Solanum lycopersicum: one gene and its partners. The main gene of each other region encodes a partner of the protein of the gene in region 2 in a complex. Links are inferred from orthologs where the notes say so. Each region holds a gene or a part of one and is shown on either strand. Other genes may lie near its edges. The genes, in order: carbon catabolite repressor protein 4 homolog 6, carbon catabolite repressor protein 4 homolog 4, carbon catabolite repressor protein 4 homolog 3 and carbon catabolite repressor protein 4 homolog 5.

Region 1 (4,918 bases), about 3.4 Mb from region 2:
TACTTTCAGAGCATGAGATAACCATACAAGAAATTCCTGGCTCATATTCTACAGAACTCTGAGGCTGAGATAAGGTACATGCAGAAGATCCAGTTCCTGAATCTTTTTCTCGAGTATCGAATTTCTGTTCAGCTGATGCCATCTTATTGTCTTTTACCTCTCTCTCACTAGCCACTTCAGAGCTTTGAGAAGAGTTAACTGCATCCTGGTGTCTGTTGTATCAAAAGAGAAATCCAGTTTTAGAAACATCAAGGGTGGATCCAGAAAGTAATCAAAAATAGAAAAAATACAAGATCCTTGATAAAAAAATAGAAACCCAATTGCATTTTTGAATAGGCCCGTGCTTCAAGCTCAACATAAATATGTGATCAACAAATCAAAAGAAATGATAGATAGACAACACATAATGATCTTGTATTTTATTATCTTTTCACTGCAATCCCTATAAGCCAAACTCAAATCCTCAGAAATAATGGCCCCACTTTTGGTGAGTTATTTATCAAATAGAAGACAACATGTTAGGATTTTTAGAGAAGGATTGAGTCACAGGACTATGTAAGAAAATCTAAATCAATGGACTTCGACTATCCCTTGCCTTTGTTCGAATTCCTAGATCGACCTATTTTTGTATATAACTTTAGCTCATTGAAGGGAGACTGAAACCTTAGAGTTCAATGGAAGAGAGAACTCCAATCTTTTGCTTTTTACTGAAATATGACATACCAGTTTATTCATCAAAATCCCCTTTAAATAGGAGTCTTATCACATCAATAGGAAGTCTAATTCTTACGATTCCAAATTAGCATAACCTAATCATTATAAAACTATGTAACATAAACCCTATTCTAGAATAATAAATAAAGCTACTAAAATAATAATTAAATACTTAATTTAAGGGCTTCCCACGCATCCAAAACACAACATTAGAAATGATTAGATCAGAGAGAGAAGTAAATGTGAATCTTCCTTCATTTACAGAAAGAACATAAGATCCTTCCTTAATATAAAATATAGAAACTCAAAATACAATTTTTAATAGGTCCGTGCTTAAATCTCAACATGAATATGTGATCAACAAATCCAAAGAAAGGACCGGTGGACAGCCCATAATGATCTTGCATTTTATAATTCTTTTTCACTGCAATCCCTACAAGCCAAATTCAAATCCTCAGAAAAAATGGACACCGCATTTGGTAAGTTACTCCCTCCATCCCACTTTATATGTCATCTTTTTACCTTGCACTTGCATTAAGAGATGATGTAATTTTACCCTTCTTTGGAACTCAAGTTCTCAATCAATGAATATGAATTAATTTATTTTGATTATTTAATTTAATCAATGAACATAAATCATTTACTTAACTTTTCTAAGTTGGTCCAATGTATGTTTTCAATGCTAATAACTCACAAGGGTAAAAAAGGAACAATATGCTAATTTATGCATTGATTTAATGAAATGACAAGTATTATGGACCAACTATTTATAGAAAGAGATGACATATAAAATGGGACGGAGGGAGTATTTAGTAATAGACAAACTAGAAATGATTAGATCAGACAGAGAATGCAAGTAAAGCACATTGAGAATAAAATGACAGAAGGTGCTTGAGATAACTTGATATATTTAGTGAACTTCTGAATGAACCAGCCTATAGGTGTGATGGTACAATGATCCTTTGAGCCTTGAAGACCAAAAGGACAAGGCGAACCAAAATCATATGGAGCTAAATTTTCTAGAATGGCCCACAAACTCTCTAGAACACTACGAAAGCAAAGGATCCACATTAACAAAGGCGAAATGTTCAGTTTGTTTATTCAGTTGGAGCTTTCTCACACATGTTAATGTTTGACTTGTTTTTGGACTTTGTTAGCTCCTAAGCTCTAGAATAGACTTCATGTACTGGCGCTAAAAAATATTTTTTTTTTGTCTTTTCTGTAATGGAGCTGAGAGGTTTACAACTATGATAATATGACATCTCCCTACAATGTTAATCTCTTAGTTTAGCCAAAGAAAAAACAAAGAATCCATATTAGCAATACCAACTATAGGGATTAATCATTAGTTGTTACACTTGCATGAAGTCCAGAGTTTGTCAAAAGTCTTTCTAATTTGATTAAATACCTGTATGCCAGTGTAGCAATAAGAGTGAATTTTAGAACCTCTAGTTTTAAAAAGTCACTGATTTACATCAAAAATACATTATATACAAGTATTGAAATGTACTGGACCTAAATAGAGAAGAATGATATACAGGATGGATTAATATAGTCCACCCCAAATAGCTAGGGATTGGGGCGTAGTTGAGCAATGATATTGAAGTAGAAAACTTGTAGGATTATACATGAGCTGTTTCAAGGAATTCAGAAGAAAAGGTCAAGGAGGAAACAATGTAGTACAAAGTCTCCATGAATTTAACGTAATTTCTTTTAACAAGGTAAGAAGTCGTTACCTAGCACTAGCATTGAAGCTGTGCTTCACTGTATAAATTGTAGCTGATTCCTGTCCTGACACTTTATCCCGAGGCACTTCTGATAAGTCTAGCTGTGGGAAAAAAATATCCAAAATGCATTCCAAAGCACAAAATCATCATATCTTTAGAGAAGGCACAGAAGAAAAGGAGTGGGGGCAGCAACAAGAAAGAAAATATTATCTGAAGCTTACTCTTTCCTCGGCAAGATAGTTGTATAATGGACTCTGGTAAAGGAGAAGAAGAATAAGGAATTATTGCATGGATTCTGGGAAGTGTAAAAAGATGAACAGAACTATTGCACAACATAACATTCTCACATGCAAGTAAGAGTAGAATATATGCACTGATGGAAAAACATGTCATAAGCGCTTCGATGGGAATTATTGAACCCACCTTTGGTGTACTGTTAAAATCTCCACAAATTACAATAGGAGCATTGTCCCAAAGTTTTGAAACACCACCAGCCTTATCCAGAAGCACCCTAACCTGGTTGTCACAAAATTTATTTACACTAAACAGAAGAAGAGTTGAATCCAATCAAGTGGTATCTCCCTTGCATCTAAAAATGCTAAACTAAAGAAGTTGTGTCAATCATGAATTGAAAGCAAACCAAATTTATGAGTAAACAAACGAGACAGATCTGCCAAGTATGCTATACTAAATGAGGGAAGTAGGATGGAAACGGGGCGAGACAGGAGGGGGCACTTTCCTCTAATAAACAGAGGTTGTATTCACTTATCACAGAAACATGATAAATACTAGTTTCTCTTTAAATGCATTTTAGCACACAGGGAAATCAGTAAAGATACATATATGAGCAATGACTACAATCTAGCAGGTTGCTAATGTGTGAAGTAGAGTAAAGTGTGATTGGATAACTACCAAGTAAAGGATATACAAGTACTGGATAGCTGTTTCGAAATAAATTGCACACATTGATGAAAATTGAAAAGACAGTATTAATTGACAATAAGTACCTGTCCGAGCTTAATATCTCCCCTTTTAGGATTGAAAAGCACATGAGTATTACAAATTACAACCTTACTGGAGTGACCAGTGCTGCAAGTGCAATAATTTAGTTGGGGAAAAGGAAAAAAATAAGAAAGCCCTCAACAGATATTTGAATGATAAGGTACAAATCAAACATTCAAGAGTAAGTTGTTATACAGTGCAACTCTCAAAACAAAGAAGACCTACCTTGCTAAGGGAGCTGGTGAACTCTTATTTTGCTGACCAAGAGACTGTTAGCAATAGATGAACACAACATCAGAAAAGCAAGTTTTGAACTTGAAGATACCCACAGTAAAGCGATGAAATATTTAAGAAGAATTTACGCACCTCAAATACACATATCTGGGCAACATTATCCCGAAGCCCAAACTTTTTAAATTCAACAAATTCTTCATGCACCAATTTGAATCTAACATAAAAAATTTAAATTAAATTCAGACAAGATAATATCGTGGACCAGTAGTTAGATGTCATCACACGTACTGCATCTTGCAAAAAATATACGCCAAAAGGTTAAAATTAAGATGATAACACAAATCATTGAATAGTGCATTGAGGATCTGAGAGTAATCAAGCAAAAGTAATTAATATGCCAGAATCGCGGATCTCTAGACATACAGCCAAATTATATTTGCCAAAGGTCTAGAAATGACTACCAGCATGTTTAAATGACCGCGAGCATATCAAGCAAGTTCCAGCTTAGCTATAGTACAGAATTCACACCAATAGAAATGCACATTACCAGAGACACTACAAAAGTGGCAATGATGTAACATAAGACTGGATTCTGTGACACCAATGTTTACATTGAACAGACACATAGTTAAGAATCACTGAAGCTAGTAAGCACATCAAAGTAACTCATTGCTATGCAAATCAGTACAATATATCCAATAGCTTATATACAAGCTTTTCAAACAGCCAAAATCAGTGACTATGTTTTTACCAGAAATGATATATCATATATGGACCAGCAGTTGTCATTAGAAAACAACCATCACTGGCAATGAAGTACGACAAGAGTTTAACATTTGTCCATATAATATTAGGTGTAGAACTGCCAAAAGATACAAATCTGTGGAAACCAGGAAGCCAAAATACTAACAATATAAGAACTATAGGGACAAAATTTTGATATTCGTGGAAGTTCAAACGATGATGATCATAGCATAAGGCAAGTAAAATCTGACAAGTTAATCAAGGAAACAATATGCACTAAAATGTGATTGATTATGTTTGCTAATGCAGAAAGAATAACATTGATCATAGAATGAGGGAAGTAAATGTGATTAGTTTATCAAGGAAACAATACACACTAAAACATGATAGACTGAATGGCTGATTGTGTTTGCCGGTGCAGAAAGAAGTATTATGCTGTTAGCACTCCTCCATAAAGAACACTTTATCAATCCTTAATTCATTTATATATGGGCAAC
Region 2 (4,918 bases):
CTTTAGCATGATAGAAGTAACTTAATCTACTGAAGAGGTGGGAGTAAGATGTTATGATGTGAAATAAAATGTAGTTCTGTGCCGTATCACTCATCTCTTGGATCCCTTGAAGTTGCAAGGATACGACGCCTAAGCTTTATTTACGCGAACTTATAACTAATCGTCTTATTTTTTAGCTAGAAAGTGCATGATCATATCATAGTACTCCAAACATAATGCATCTATGAGATGACCAGCAAGTCTCCTCAAATAATACAAATAATTTCATCGCTTAGCTTAGCATTCTTTCACTTATAGATATAGAGGTTAAGGAAAGAAGAGAGAATAGATGGTCACCTATCCGGCTTATAAAAGATCCCGCATCCATCACGCTTCTGCCCATTTCTTTTGACGTAGATACTTGAATAGCCAACACTCTCTATATTTCCTTTGTAGAAGCTATCATATTCATCCAATTCCTGGCACATAACACAATCTTGATTAAAATATAACCTAGAAGAAATTAGAAGTTCCTTTCTTCTTTTTTTTTTAAAGTTCCCCTCCCGGTTTCAGGTATGAACTTTAGGGCCCAACTATTACGGATACGCGTCAGGAAAACCCACTTTCTGGGGTAAAGCATCCCCTGCCAAAGGCAACCTTATTCCCTCCCTCCTCCAGTTAATGATGCCACTTCACCACAACCTTTTGCTGTAGAAGTTGTTATTAGAAGGAAAATGGATGACTGTATATTGCTCAATCTTAAATTATCAAAAAATCCAAACCTGTAAGCAAAGGAAATCGGCCCCAAGGCTCTTGAGAACTGTCAGGATTGCCTGTGAACGAGCTTTCCACCTAACACAACACTTAACAAATGTTGATTCTGAAATTACGAGTAAAAGAAAGAAATTGAAAACTGTCTCAATGAAGGCTCATTCCACATGGCTTCAAGTCACAATGCTTTGGAAATAAATTTTACAATAGATGCTCTTCAAATACTCGAAGAGAAAAGAAGTAAAATTGACTAAAACACGACTATGTATCTTCTATTAACACTAGCTTAGAGAATTACTAAAATCCAATAAAAGTCATATGCTCCTGACTCCAAGTCTTGAAGCATTTCTCCAACAGTCTTGAAGGCAAGGAATATAATACTAATGTAATGCAACATGAAACAATCATATTAGAATTCCATAAAGGCCTTAGGCATTATAAACAAGTTAATTTGGGTCCACTCAAACATGTAATCAAATCGCATTGGACTTTCCAAAGAGAAGAGAAACAATATCCGACAGGCTCTGTATAAGAAATGCAAAAATGAAAACTTGGATATAGATGACGTACTTGAGACAAGGCCTTGGGGAGTGTGAAAACAGATCACCCTTAACATATGCCTACAATAAAAAATCTCAGAACAACGAAATATCAGCAAACAGAATCCATACAGCTCAATAGATTAAATGGCTTGAATCAGTAACAAGAAAAACTAGAACTGACTAACATCTCAGAATACAAGTCTCAAGGTATGAGATAACATCACTTGAATTGTGCACTATAGTCCTAAAAGACAAATCAAAGGACATACCAAGCATGTTAGTAGTACACTTGACTAATTAACAGCAAATGTGTGCATCAATAATGGCTTTCCTATCCAGATATGTATGCTCTACTTAACACGGTGGTTCAACCACAGGCGAGCAGAGGGAGGCCTCGAATTCTTTTTGTTAGGATCAGATTTCTCACTCTCTTCTGACTTTCATTTGTTTGTTTGTCCAAGATGTGACATGTTCACAAAGTTTACAAGAGTACTTTGGCTGATGAATAAATACATTTTTTATTTGATTTTCAAAGTCAAGATAGACAATTTACAGTGTATTAGCCATATAAGGATGCTCAATAGTTTAGGAAAGCAGCACTTAACTTCCTTTACTGAAGTATTACTTGCATATACTTCATAAAAATAATAAAATAAATGAATTGCGTCAAGAAATTTGAACATGGTCGGATTACCTGAGCCAAAATGTTATATGATACCAAACTGAACTTAAAACCTGCAACGATTGATAAAAAGTAAAACATTAACTCCAGCTGTACAACAAAAGCATACAAAAACGAAAAAGAAAAGTTAAATAATCCACTTACCATCTGATTTGCTTACTGAAGTAATTCCACTCTTTTCAGCAGGAACAAATTTTGGTGACAGAGGTGCAGGTGTTGTGCTCATTTTGGCGAAATGAATTGTTCTGTAGATATTGTAAACCAAGAAAAGAAGAAGCAAATGAAGTCTCCAATCAAAAGATAAAAGGAGATAATAGATAAGAAGCCCCTAGTATTGGCTCCATTTACAACTTACACAAACTATGGGTGTTTGTATAAACCCCCTGAACTTCCTTTTTCAGTATCTATTACCACCCTCAAGTACCTGGTGATATAAAGAGAGGTGTGTTGTCGACACCTATGCGATGCACGGAGTAAGGAAAAGGTGAAAAACAGTTTATGGTGGCTTCTATATTTATCAACCAAAAAAATTTTGGTAGGGCGGTGCATTATTCAGGATTGGAGCGGGAAGTCGATTAGTAAGGTAGACAACATAAAGATAGGCAAAAGACCAAAATTCAGGTGGTAAGGATGCTCCCATGAAGAACTGGTTTTATTGGTTTCATGAATATGACGATGCCTACGTTCAGCTATGGCAACACGTTGTCCTGCGTAGGAGGTGAAATTAAGGATTCAAATCCATGTTTATCTCAAGATAGGGCTGAAGACCGATGATCTCACCCCCTCCGACGGTACAAAGTGAAGAAATTTTCAACTAAAGGATGAAACTTTAGATTATTGACACAACCTCACTTTCATTTGTAAGTGTATACAACCAAGTATATTTGGTGTATTGGTCAATAGAGTACGTGAGTGCTTCCCGACACAAGTAAAAACAAAGAATTAAATAGATGTGAGGTTATATTGACAAAACTTAATTACAAAAATGAGATTTTTTTCATTGATGGAGCACAAAATGTGTCAAAAAGCTTAGAAGTAGTTTTAGATGCCTAATTAGAGTTGAATAAGTATGAGCAATAGGAATAGTTTTACTGTCACCCATGGAGATTTCTTCAGTTATTGCATACTTTACAAGGTTGTGGGGTACAATAGCGACATGGTTAGGTGAGCAATAGGAATGGCAATGCTCACCAGGCATGCTATGGGAGTTAGCACCCGAAAAGAGAATTCAGTTGGGCCAAGTGATGTGGGGTCCGAAATGAAGAGTGTCATCAAGATTTTGAAAATGAGGCTCATATAGTGAATAACAAAGTAGGGGGGTCCCGCCCTAACTACCATGGATCCAATCAAGGTCATGGAATTTTAGTATTTGGATTACTGTTGGTATCGATCTTAACCCAAGCCTCAAGGCAAGGTTCAAGAAATCAAGGACCAAGGAGCCCAGAACAAAGGTTACAATCATCGAAGCCTATACACCTATGCTCCTCCAAGAGGTAGCCCATTGTCCACTAGTGACTCCACAAGACACTTTCAAGAGTGTTGAGTCTACTGACACAAATGTGAAAAGGTTAAAATGGCTTATAAAACATTGGGTGGTCAACTCCCACTCAACTTCGATTAACCAATTTCAGTCTTAACTTAGCCAAATATCTTCTTCGCTCAATCAAAGAAAAGGGTCCCCTTCCTAGTGATACAGTGAAATAGAATGATAATGGAAATGGTGCCCATTGTATGGTCATTACTATACTAAGCGGAAGGGTGCTAGGCGATGAGGTGGTGGAAGTTGACAAAATTATAGTTAATGAAACAAATGTGGTGGAAAGTAACGTGGATCTTGTTGACACCTAATTTTGTTACTCCTTTCTTCTAAATCATTTCATTGAGCTTCTAAATTACTGATAAGTCAAATATTCGATGATCACTACTATTTTTTATTATTACTATTGTTACTGTTGTTATATATTATATGATATTTTTACTATTTGTTAATTATTGTTGTTGTTATCATTTTCACTCTTCTTAAAATTATATGTATTATTGTTATTATAAGTTTCATACCTATTAAATTAATTATAAATATTATACATTTTATATAGTTATTGTCAATGGTTAAGATATATTGCACTAATTATTAAATTAGAAGCTCAAAAAAATCAATTTAAAGAAGAAAAATACCATCAAACAAACTAGTCCAAATCTTGCACCCAATCAAGGGGGTGTTTGGATTAGCTTATTTTTATGTTTGGTTTTTACGCACTTCTTTAGTTTTGGAGGTATTTGAAAAAGTTAAGAAGTGTTTTAAAACATTCATCTCTAGGCCAAAAAAGTTTTGAAATAAATCAAAAGTAGGGTATCCTACTTATGACTTTTAGCTATAGATTTATAAATTGCTTAAACTTATCCAAGCGGGCACTAAATTACTTAACCTAATAAGTTGCAGCCCAATTGCGCCAAAATAAAAAGTTCATGGTTGGCCACAAATAACCCAACAATGTACATTCTAGATTTTTCCTAGCAGACAAATTCCCATATCAACACCCTTCGGGTTGGCCCAGTGGTTTGAGTTCGAGACTTCATGTTTGAGGTCTCAAGTTCAAAACCCTTGCCCTTCTGGGTCCTGGTGTGGATTGCGTCTCCTATATGATTTGCGAGCATTGCATAGGAGCTGGGATTTTATCCTTTGCGCACCCAAAGGGTAGCGACTGCGGGTTTCCCTTGTCATAAAAAAAGTCCCACAACAACCTTCACTAAAATTTCTGAGCAAACAAAACACTTTGATCTAAAAGAAAGTAAATAAGTGACAGAGGAGTCAGCTTTTACCTCCCACAGGGCAGTAACTGGGGCTTCATTGAGGTCTCGAATTCTACACTCATTTTTCAAATAAAGTTGAGCAAAACGGGGAGGAGAACAGAAAATACTTTGAGGGATGATATGTAGATGTAAG
Region 3 (4,918 bases), on a different chromosome or scaffold from region 2:
ATTTTGTAAAAAAAATCCACCATTTTATATCCTCCAACCCTTTATTTAATATGCAAACAAAAGATATTGTTAACATTATTCTCTTATAATGCTTTAAACCATTTTTATTGAATATAACTATTATTCTTACCCACATAAATGTTATTTGTTTACACTAAATATCTCATTTCCATCACATGTCTCTTTGATAATTTTTTTACCAAATGCTATTTTTGTTGGTAGATAAATATTACTCATATTCAATTTTACTTTTTTATTGAACCAAAATTCAATCCATGACTGTTACATAATTTCTTTATCTAGAATTCCTTTGTGACATGTACTATGTGAGTTTTATGAGCAAAATATATTTGGCTTAAAATTTCAACTTTATCTTATATGACTTTCAATTTCATTTCACATGACCAAACGATTTGAGAGGAACAGAATTTTATATGGACAAAGACGTTGGAACTAAATGAAATTTGTTGCCCACCCAGCTAACTAGATGCAAATTGCAAACCCAGGAAGAAGTACTTCTCATCCTGTTAGCCAAGTCTTGATAACATCTCATTAGGAAGAGAAAATTTTGAGATCATAACGTTGCAAACTTGGTTTTGTGAAAATTTTGAGATCATAACGCTGCAAACTTGGTTTTGTGTTGACATTATTACATATATGTTCCTAGTGCAATGCAGAGTTGCAAACAAAAACTTGAGACGATATTAAAGGTACAGATTTGTTCAACGATTACATATTCATATGTCCGAACAATGAGTTCCCATCATCTACGCTACAACAATCATTTGTAGGTAGTATAATTCTAGTCAACAGCGGATAGAACATTGCATTTGCTTAGTAATCACAAACTATACTGTCATGTTTTACTCTCAACTTAATTCATGCAACTCTGTTTGACATATGCAATATCCAGTTTGTTTCCCATGTTGTCTTGAACCTGCATGCCATGATGAGGAGTTTGTTTAACAGATGTCACCTTTAACTGATAGACGGTCTTCAGTTGCTCCAATAACTTCCAAGAATGCAAACTCAGAAACCAAAGCCAAGTGATCACTACCCAATTTCTGCGGTCCAGAAATTCAGATCAAAATTAGCTTTAGAGAAGAACTCAACACACAAAACATCTCAAGGAATATATCAAACGTAATGAGATCTAGGAGTGCTCTTATCCGGCTTACGAAATAAACCTTTACTGGTTCACCACAAAGAAAAGATGTTGTGACAATGGTTCTTGATGGCTGAATCTATCCCAAATGTGCAATCAAGCATTAGGTCATTTACTGAGTTAATATCTCAGATGGTCACTCAACTTCAACTTTCAATAGTTCTTTTAGAAAATCACTCAACTTAGAGTAGTTTACTTGGAAAGTCACTCAACTTTGTGTTATAACTCAAAAATCACTCAATTACAAGTTTTTCATTAAGAAAGTCACTCAACTATGATATTTTACGTAGAAAGTCACTCAACTAATTTAAATGTTTTAAAAATTAAATTTTGCTAAAATACTATTTTTGTTTTAAACTTATTTAAAAATTAATAAGACACTCTTAATTATTTTACTAAATATTTTAAATATATAATCTTTTGAACTATTTTTTTTTAAAAAAAAATAAGATTGCTACAGTTTTTTTTTTTTTGGATTCTTAACTTCTTGATTCCAACCTTTTATAAAAAATAAATAAATAAATAAATAATTAGAGTTGGTCAATAAGATAATTAAAATAGATGTTTTATTTTAATAAAATTTAATGAAAAAAATATTTGAGTCGATTGAGTGACTAAATAAATGAAATATTAATAGTTGAGTGAAATACCAATAGTTAGTGACTTTCTAAGTGAACAATTCTAAGTTGAGTGACTTTCTAAGTGAAGTATCAAAGTTAAGTGACTATATGAGATATATTACCTCCTCATTTACTAGATGTTTTAACAACCTTATTAATGTATTTGCTTCTTTTGCATAATCTAAGACGTTCTTATTAACAACATCAAGTTACTATGTCAGAAGAACAATACCTTGTAGGGAAGACCACCTGTTTTCTTCAAGACATTAATTGGTAAAGTATCTAAAACTTTTGTGGGTGCAAGACCATCAGAATACCTGCATGTGGAAGATTTTACTTTAGTGCTTACTCCCTTCAATCAAGTTAGAAGAAAAATATGAGTAGCAGTTGTAATCAACATCATTAGTACCACAAATAGTCAACAGTTCCCAGAAACTTCGAGTGGAAAGATGTGGCTAATGGTTCACCACTGTTATCCCTTGTTGTTAGAGGTCCCTAAGAAGAAGGAAGAGGTAGCGTCTGCATAAGAGGAATATACAAAGAAATAAACAAAAACTGTAGATAGGAAGGACAAGCCTTACCTTCACCATCGCATAAGAACTATTTAGCTTCAAAGGGTGCATAGCTATGTGGGATTTAAGGGCACCAATCGCAACATTTATCTCCTCATCGCTCCATCGAGAATTAAAAAATCTGAAGTCAATTGCATGCACACAACAGAATTCTTCATCAGAATCATATGATAATACAAATAATTTAGTTTTCTCACAAGTAAACCAATTGATATCAGAAATCTCAAACATAAATGGATCAAGAATCAAACACACATGACAATGTAGGAAGGGCATTAATAGCTGAACCCAAATAAAATCAGCAACAACCAACATAAACAGTTGGAAGAGTTATACGTCTTTTATGATTATTAAATATTTAAGCCTTATGTAAATGGTTAATTTCATATCTCCATTTTTGTTATATTCTATCAATGTGACGAAGTCTTATCCCCATAAACAAACTTGGTGATATAGTGAAGTTGACCAAAACATAGGTAACACGCCCATAATTTTAAGGGTTGGGCTCAAAATAATTTGAATTGGGTTCAATCTCAACCCGTTCAAGCTTAACCCATTTGAAGAGAATTCTCAATTGAGCTCAATTCAATCTCCAATTTCAATCCGTTTTAAAACTTTTTCTTAAGACATGTTCCTATATCGGAGGTATGAATTATTGTCTATTTAACATCTTTTAGGATTTATCTATCCATTTGTTACTTTTTTAAACAAATAATTCTTGAGGGGAAATTCAAATTGTGATTATAAAAGTCAAATATCAATATGTTAAATTATTGAGATCAATCGGGTCAAATTGGGCGGGTCAAGACCCAACCCGTTTTTTTAGCCCATTTGAGCCCAATCCATTTGAGTCCAAAGTAAAATTGGGCTGGTCAAGACCCAGCCCGATTTCTATTCAACCCATTTTAATATTTCCAATTTCAACCAACCCGCCCATTTGACACCCCTACATTATAGAGAAGTTGAAAACTGAGAATGAGGATATAGAGAAGATTGTCATGTTAAAAAACACCACATTGTTTTCTCACAAAAAAAAACTGAAGCAACTTATGACCCCCCTTAGGTTTTATGAACACTCTAGCTATCTGATTTATAGGAGCACATAGACCTTCAAAAGATATAATAAGTACTGGAAGATCCTTGCTTCACCTGTCCATTAAAACAAACAAAATCCCCTTTTCTCTTCTCAGACCAAGAACTTGAGAGGGATGGCATAGTCTCTGACCAGATAACTCTTTTCGGTTATGTAGCATTAGATTGAGCTGCTATATCAAAAACAAAACCTTTGAGAAGCAAACAATTCAACGAAAAAGCATGCTGATCATATTACTTAAGAAGTACTTTAATATTGCATAAAGGATACAAAATTGGGATCTGGCATATTACCTCGGATGATGACAAGAATTTGTAGATTGGACTCTGTCACAAGGGATAAACAAAGAGGCATCGTTTCAGCAAGTAATTTTTAAAAATAGAAGTCAATAACATACTTCGTAAAGATATATTTCAGCTATTCACACCTGGGGAGTACTATTATAATCACCTGCAAGCACAATAGGTACATGGTCCCACTTTTCTGAAAGTATGTGTGCCCTTGATGCAAGAAAACGAATCTGAAAGGAAGAATTTAAGTGATAAGTTACCACATGGTGACAAACTGGAGCAAATAGCAATCCTTGGTACCACACGTCAATCTGCTGACAGTTGGGAATTTAAATAGTTTATGTCTAAAGTTAAGCATGCCATCAGAAGAGGAAAAACACACATTTTGTAGCAAGAACTAGATTTTTCTCACCACAATGTTGCACACTTATTTCACATGGAACATGAACAAAGATTGAGAGATCTCTTTCTATACGGGAGTTTGTTCAGATGTCAAGTGGTATGCTGATGAAACATGATTTGAAGTTCAAGTATAAACAGTTGTCCCTAGTACGACGCATTACTTTCTGCCTCATACACTCCATAAAGGATGTCAAAAACCGTGAAAGAGTTGATGTTTAACAGAAGAAGCAGGAGAAGGAAGATAAAACAAAGTGTTTGAAATGTGTCCCATTTGCATTAATGTCAGGACAGATTAAAGAAAACGATGCAATTGAAAGTAAGGACTAATCTAAACAACAATTGAGCAAGCTGGGAGAAATAAGAACTAAGAATTGGTCGAGCCAACCGGCGTTGCCAATCTAAGGATAAGTATTAAAATAGATCAAGTGTTAAATCATACCTTGTGTATTTCAGATGGAATAGATAAAAGTCATATGTAGTCTTTATGGAATAATTATATTATAGGTCTAAAGTGTATTAGAGAACACAATATTATGTGAGTTGTTACGTATGCACTATGAATTTAATGTTATTGGGCATAAAATTGTCGATATTATTTAAAAAAAATCTTGAAAATAACAATGAAAGAGATAAAGGCTTGCAAGTAATTAGTTCAACAACTTCAATCAAGCTTGAAAAATAACAATACAAGTAACTAATTAGAAATTAGAGGTATAACATCATCTTAGGGGGATTTTTCTCTGAAATCACATTAGGAGAATGCCCTCACCGAAGGG
Region 4 (5,649 bases), on a different chromosome or scaffold from region 2:
TGAGGCATACTATTTAGATCTCCAGCAAGCACGACTGGTATATCACCCCATTCATGAGATAGCCTCTGGGCACTCTCAAGAAAGAGTCTAACCTATTACATCAAAAAATAAGTTGCAAGAATCAATTAACCCATAACAGCTATAACCAATTTTATTAAAACTTTCCCTGATAAAATATTTATAACTTATTTAAAATTTTCTCATAGTTCAAGATTGAACTACAGGAACGCTGTCTATTTTGAATAAGTTTAGGTAAGACTTCTTGATCAGAAAAACAATATGTCAAGCTACATTTTTTCATGTTAACCCACAAACAGCCACATTCTCTTCATAATGCGCATTTCATGTAAACTGATTATTTCTAGTTCTTTGAAACTTTTTCACTACAGAATCACCATTTGAAACCAGTTTAAGATTTAGTTCATAAAATTTAATTTCAAATGAAGAGTTGATAAGTTTAGAACAACTAATGATCAAGCAAAATAAACAAGGGAAGTGCTATGCAAGCTTTAAGAATCCTAATGGAGACGCTCCTTACAAAAACAAATAGTGAGAGAGAGATGTTATAGGACAGATAAAAATGTCAAAATAAAACTATTGGTCCTAGAACCAAATTCAGTGACAGTCACACCACTAGTCTTTTTTAAGGAGGCAGATGTAAACATGCATCAGCCATCAGGTGAAGCGAAGACGCTTTAGTAAGGATTAAGGAATTTAAAAGTTAAGACCAACCCCCAAGCAGAATTTATCCTGCTTTATTCAAATTAAAGGGAAAAAGCTTCCAAGCATAAAAGAGACGAAATACCATTCAGTACAGCGTGCCTAAACAAAATTATAGTTTTATTTGGAAGGGGGGTTTAAAAGGGGTGGAGGGGGTGGAATATTGGTGCTGGCAGTAATATAAAAAACCAAGTTAACGGAACATTCGTCCAAGTGTTCAGTGACAATACTATTATCCAAAGTACTAGTTGATTCGTCGTAAAACGATCAACCATTAGTTGTTGCTTAAAAGTTATACCTGTCCCAATTTGATGTCTCCACGATTGGGGTTGTAGAGTACATGAATATTGCCAACCAGAAAGCTTGGCGAGGATACACTCCTAACCACAAACATTCGAGCAACCATAACATATTGACCAGAATTGAGAAACTGAAACTAAAACTTACATAAACTAAGTAATCACAGCATCATACAAAACTCAACATTTGAGAATAAAATAAAATAGAGCAGACTTACTCCGAATTTGAAGCACTCACATCCTTGGTTGAACTTTTCACATTCATCTAAAAGTTAATTAAAAGAACTACACATCAAAGTAGACCCCATTTGAACATTAGAGTAAAATAAACTCTTTGCGACCATCTTGTAGTGTGCAGGGGAAATAAGAACAGGCTTGCATGATAGTCTAAGAAATTTCATGCAACATCAATGTCCAGAACAGAGATGATGAAATGATATATCCTGTCATGTCATAATATGTGCAGCATGTGTAGAGTGCATTCATGTAATGACATCACACCGTTATTCTGAGATTAGTAGCCTATTCTTTAAATAAGATTAAAAATGCCTGATAAAATGAAGCTTAGCATGCAGTTGTCTCAAACAGAGAGTAAATCCAGAAAAAGGCATGTAGTCACTGCAGCAAGCTGATTTGTTTGATCAGCTGATTCTGCTAAGTACAAACTACCAAAAGTAACATTGTTTAGTAACTTATCAAAATAATCAGCACACTGGAAGTGCCAAAGAAAGATATCAAACAAATTAAAAGAGACCAAAGCCTCCAATAAATAAGGCACATCATCACTACACTGGGCAATATTATCCCTAGTGCAAAACCCACCCACCCCCCAAAAAAAAAAAGAAACTAATAATGAAATGCATGGCAGATTTACCTTAAAAACACAAAGTTGGCAAACATTATTGCGTAGATTAAAATTCTGGAATTCTATGCTCTCCTCATGCAGAATGTCAAATCTGTAACCAGATATATTTGTAAATTGGAAGTAGCATAAATTAGATAAGAAAGAAATGGAAACAATTAGCAGCAGACAGTTTTCAATCTCCGTAGACGTAGCCAAAAATGACGAGCAAAAACTGCAGCTTTTGCCAGCAGGTCTTCATTTCCCATAAAAAGAACCTAGCTTAGTAAGCAGCAACAAAATCCAAGAGAAATTAAGAAAGAATCAAAGACCATACAGCTTGTTGTTCCAGAATATTGCACAGCCATCGCTTGCATCACCTGTACGAGCCTGGTAAAGGAAAAAGAAAAACGCCATTTGATTAAAAAATGTGACAAAGAATTCAACATACAGGTCATCCATAGAAAAGTTCCACTACATTAGACCTGATAAACCCCTTTAAAGCCCTCTTTCTGGAGGAGATAATCTAAATCATCAAAACGGTCAACCTCCTGCAGGTTTACAAGAAGAAATAAGTTCCTCTAAAATGGCTGAACATCTACACAATGTGTTCATACAGTAATTCAAACAGTCTCGGCGAGAAAATAGTGAAACAATAATTTCATTTACAATGTTTTTATTTGGATAATCGAGAAATCAGTTGTTTTCAACTTCCAACTCTATGAATAATGCATCCGAACCTCTATCACACTGAACCAAATCATGGGTGTATCTTTTAAGAATAAATATACAGTAGGCTTTCTTAACTTCTTAGCTCTATTTTCCTCTCCTTCCCTTTTATGAAGAATAAATATACAGAAAACTACAAACTTTGAAATTAAAAGTTACCTGGAAACACATTATATCCGGATTATAGTCCCTAATTTCTTTGCATATGAGCTTCTTCCGGTAGTCCCAATCCAAATATTTTGGAGAGACATTGCGGTACAGGTCCTCATGTGCTGCTGCATTTTTTACCCCTAGTATGTTATACGACATAAGAATAACTCTATCTGCAAAATTAAGATGATTATTCAGACACAATAAAGGCGGATACACATATGCCAAATTCAAAAAAAAATACTGTATATGATTGCAGACACATTAAAGACTACAAATAGAAGAACCGATGAAATTTCTTATCAATTGACAATCGGTAACCTTGATTTGGGGAAACGTCGTGAGTAGAGTAAACCCACTTGCGTTTATCATCTGCAATTGCCCTCTTTGCTTTTCCTTTATGCCGTTTTTCTTTGCCCCTACTGTACGAGTATGAGTACGAATTTGCATATGAATGTGTATAAGAAGTAGAAGTATGATTTAGGGTTACGGTTGCAGATTCAGTCTCAGTTTTACGTATTGATACTCTTTGCTTCTTCTTGCTACGGTGTTTACCGATATCATGTTGACGAATTCTACTTTTCATTGCTGAAAATCGAGAAGGCTGTTCCGCCGGTTGATCTCTGCCGTCGCCGGTTCGGCCCATGTTGCCGGGAGATTTGAATTTGGGCGGCGCGTGTTTAACCTTTTACAGGACGAATAGGGATGGAACTAAAAGGACATGAATATTTTCGCATATTAGAAAAAAATTAAAATTCTCCAAGTTATCTGTAAATAATGACAATTAAAAAAAATCCTTTTGGCCAAAGTTTGGTTAGAATAGTATTTTAAGTATTTTTAAGATTAAAAAAATATTATTAATATTTAAATTTAATACAAAATTTTCTATTTATTTATGGCATAACTCGAGAATTAATACCTTTATTTTCAACTGGAATTAAGTCCTTGCTTGGTGTACGGTGTACCTGCTACCTACACCGTTTATCAAATTTTCCCAAATAGTTATTATAATAAATATAATTATTTTATTTAATAATAGTTTACATATTTATGAGCTTTAGCTATAATTTAAGGTGTTATAAGCGATCTCATTTATATAATTCGCGAGTATATTTATATAATTGAGTCATTTTCTTTTGTATTAATATAAATTGATTGATATTAATTGATTTGTGTTTATCTTTGTATAAGTTCGAAATAACAAATTAATACAAACACAAACATTTGAATTTTAAATACTTACAAAAATTATATTATACAAAAATTGTACAAAATTATATTCAAAAATCTACGCGCTTATACAAACTGAAAAAAGCGAGTGACATAATTATCACTAATATATGTAGTGATTAGTTAAATAATACATATTTGCTTAATCGCATAATTTCACTTTATTAGAATATGATTTAAAATAAATGTACATAACTTTTAATTTAAAATTTTTAATAAGGAATTAGCTGGTCTTCTCTATAACTTTACTAGCAATCTTTTTAGGGAAAATTATATATAATAACAAACTAATAACTTAAAATAAATGGAGTAGCTAGTGTTTGATTTAATTGGGCTCCATAACAAGCGTTTGTAAAAAATTGTCAGGCGCCTCTCTCCCAATATCTCGCTCGCCTCCCTCCCCAATCTCTCGCTCGCTTCCTCACTTTTTATACAAATACAAGTGTAATAAAATTGTTTCTAATTATATATAACAGAGAAAATTGTATAAATACATATATTTTTGTTCCTCTCTCTCTCCCCTCTTTCAGATCTCGCTCGCCACTCTCTCAAATCTCGCTCGCCACCCTCACCTTTCTCACTTATACAAACAGAAGCGAAATGTATAAATTGCGTTTTTGTTTGTATAAAGCGTGAGAAAATTGTATATACACATGTAAATACATATATTTTCGTCCTATACACTTATGACTATACAATAAAAATACTCCCCTGCCCTGTTTCTTTTGCCTTTATCTCTTTCTCGTTCTATACAATTTTCAAATTGTATCTAATTTTTCTCTTTCTCGTTTTATACAATTCGATCCAATTGTATATTCCTTGTCAAGCCTCTTTTGCCTTTCTCTCTTTCTCATTTTATACAAATTCAAATTGTATATAATCATTCTATAAACTTATAATAATACAATTCGTTTTATACACTTCGTTTTTATATAGTTTTCTGCCCAAGTGTCTTTCTCTTTCTTGTTTTATACACTTCGTTTTATACAATTTGCTTTAACTGTATATGTATAGCGAATTATACATTTTCTATGTTTGCTATAAGCGCAATTATGCAAACTTTGCTATGACATACTAAATATGATTTTTTTATTTGCTATATGTGAAAGTTATCCATCTTTTTAATTCGAAACCTAATTATTGTCTTGAATTCCTAAATTAACTTATTATTTTTTAATTGTTCTAACGACACCTTTTCGTTATACATAGTTTCTCTTAATATTTTATTATTTGCTTAAATTTAAAGTACAAGTTATTAAAATATGAGTTCTTTTAATGTAAAATATTTGATATGAGTTTTTTTATTGGAAAATATGTGTATAAGTAAATATATACTAGTTAGTCAATATATGTATTTTATGTGAATTACAATTTGTCACTTATTTTTAGCTATAATAAGTGTTCAATTTTTTAATTTTGTATAATTCACATGTTTGTATGATTCAAAATTTGTAATAATATAATTTGGATAACTTTTGTATGATATGATTTTTTTAACTGTGTACACTTTTAATGTTTGTAATTGTATAAATACGTTATTTTGAGTTTATAAAAAAAATTAAATTATATATATGTTCCCGCAAATTATACAATGTAAGACAACTTAAACTGTAACTATAACCCATAAATATATAAACCATAATTAAGTTTATTATATGAATTATTTGCGAAAGTTCCCTT

Evidence for each region.
Region 1: carbon catabolite repressor protein 4 homolog 4 (region 2) and carbon catabolite repressor protein 4 homolog 6 share a complex: the UniProt entries of both Arabidopsis thaliana proteins name them as parts of the CCR4-NOT complex. The link is inferred for Solanum lycopersicum from reciprocal best matches to the Arabidopsis thaliana genes AT1G31500 and AT5G11350.
Region 3: carbon catabolite repressor protein 4 homolog 4 (region 2) and carbon catabolite repressor protein 4 homolog 3 share a complex: the UniProt entries of both Arabidopsis thaliana proteins name them as parts of the CCR4-NOT complex. The link is inferred for Solanum lycopersicum from reciprocal best matches to the Arabidopsis thaliana genes AT1G31500 and AT3G18500.
Region 4: carbon catabolite repressor protein 4 homolog 4 (region 2) and carbon catabolite repressor protein 4 homolog 5 share a complex: the UniProt entries of both Arabidopsis thaliana proteins name them as parts of the CCR4-NOT complex. The link is inferred for Solanum lycopersicum from reciprocal best matches to the Arabidopsis thaliana genes AT1G31500 and AT1G73875.

What each region holds. Positions count from the first base shown.
Region 1 is NC_090807.1:57,876,532-57,881,449, forward strand, and holds part of carbon catabolite repressor protein 4 homolog 6, read right to left. Parts: intron 3,892-4,918; coding exon 3,810-3,891; intron 3,713-3,809; coding exon 3,669-3,712; intron 3,531-3,668; coding exon 3,449-3,530; intron 2,958-3,448; coding exon 2,865-2,957; intron 2,696-2,864; coding exon 2,663-2,695; intron 2,543-2,662; coding exon 2,451-2,542; intron 213-2,450; coding exon 1-212. UniProt on the Arabidopsis thaliana protein: Acts as a catalytic component of the CCR4-NOT core complex, which in the nucleus seems to be a general transcription factor, and in the cytoplasm the major mRNA deadenylase involved in mRNA turnover.
Region 2 is NC_090807.1:61,302,106-61,307,023, forward strand, and holds part of carbon catabolite repressor protein 4 homolog 4, read right to left. Parts: exon of another isoform or gene 4,848-4,918; coding exon of another isoform or gene 4,795-4,847; intron 2,220-4,794; coding exon 2,119-2,219; intron 2,028-2,118; coding exon 1,987-2,027; intron 1,371-1,986; coding exon 1,321-1,370; intron 832-1,320; coding exon 762-831; intron 459-761; coding exon 337-458; intron 1-336. UniProt on the Arabidopsis thaliana protein: Acts as a catalytic component of the CCR4-NOT core complex, which in the nucleus seems to be a general transcription factor, and in the cytoplasm the major mRNA deadenylase involved in mRNA turnover.
Region 3 is NC_090802.1:65,110,074-65,114,991, reverse strand, and holds the end of carbon catabolite repressor protein 4 homolog 3, read right to left. Parts: intron 3,971-4,918; coding exon 3,878-3,970; intron 3,777-3,877; coding exon 3,744-3,776; intron 3,623-3,743; coding exon 3,507-3,622; intron 2,479-3,506; coding exon 2,367-2,478; intron 2,281-2,366; coding exon 2,195-2,280; intron 2,103-2,194; coding exon 2,018-2,102; intron 1,065-2,017; coding exon 963-1,064; 3' UTR 595-962; downstream 1-594. UniProt on the Arabidopsis thaliana protein: Acts as a catalytic component of the CCR4-NOT core complex, which in the nucleus seems to be a general transcription factor, and in the cytoplasm the major mRNA deadenylase involved in mRNA turnover.
Region 4 is NC_090802.1:64,981,993-64,987,641, reverse strand, and holds the start of carbon catabolite repressor protein 4 homolog 5, read right to left. Parts: upstream 3,627-5,649; 5' UTR 3,386-3,626; coding exon 3,061-3,385; intron 2,913-3,060; coding exon 2,749-2,912; intron 2,412-2,748; coding exon 2,346-2,411; intron 2,251-2,345; coding exon 2,198-2,250; intron 2,117-2,197; coding exon 1,894-2,116; intron 1,285-1,893; coding exon 1,238-1,284; intron 1,157-1,237; exon of another isoform or gene 1,101-1,156; coding exon 1,019-1,100; intron 93-1,018; coding exon 1-92. UniProt on the Arabidopsis thaliana protein: Acts as a catalytic component of the CCR4-NOT core complex, which in the nucleus seems to be a general transcription factor, and in the cytoplasm the major mRNA deadenylase involved in mRNA turnover.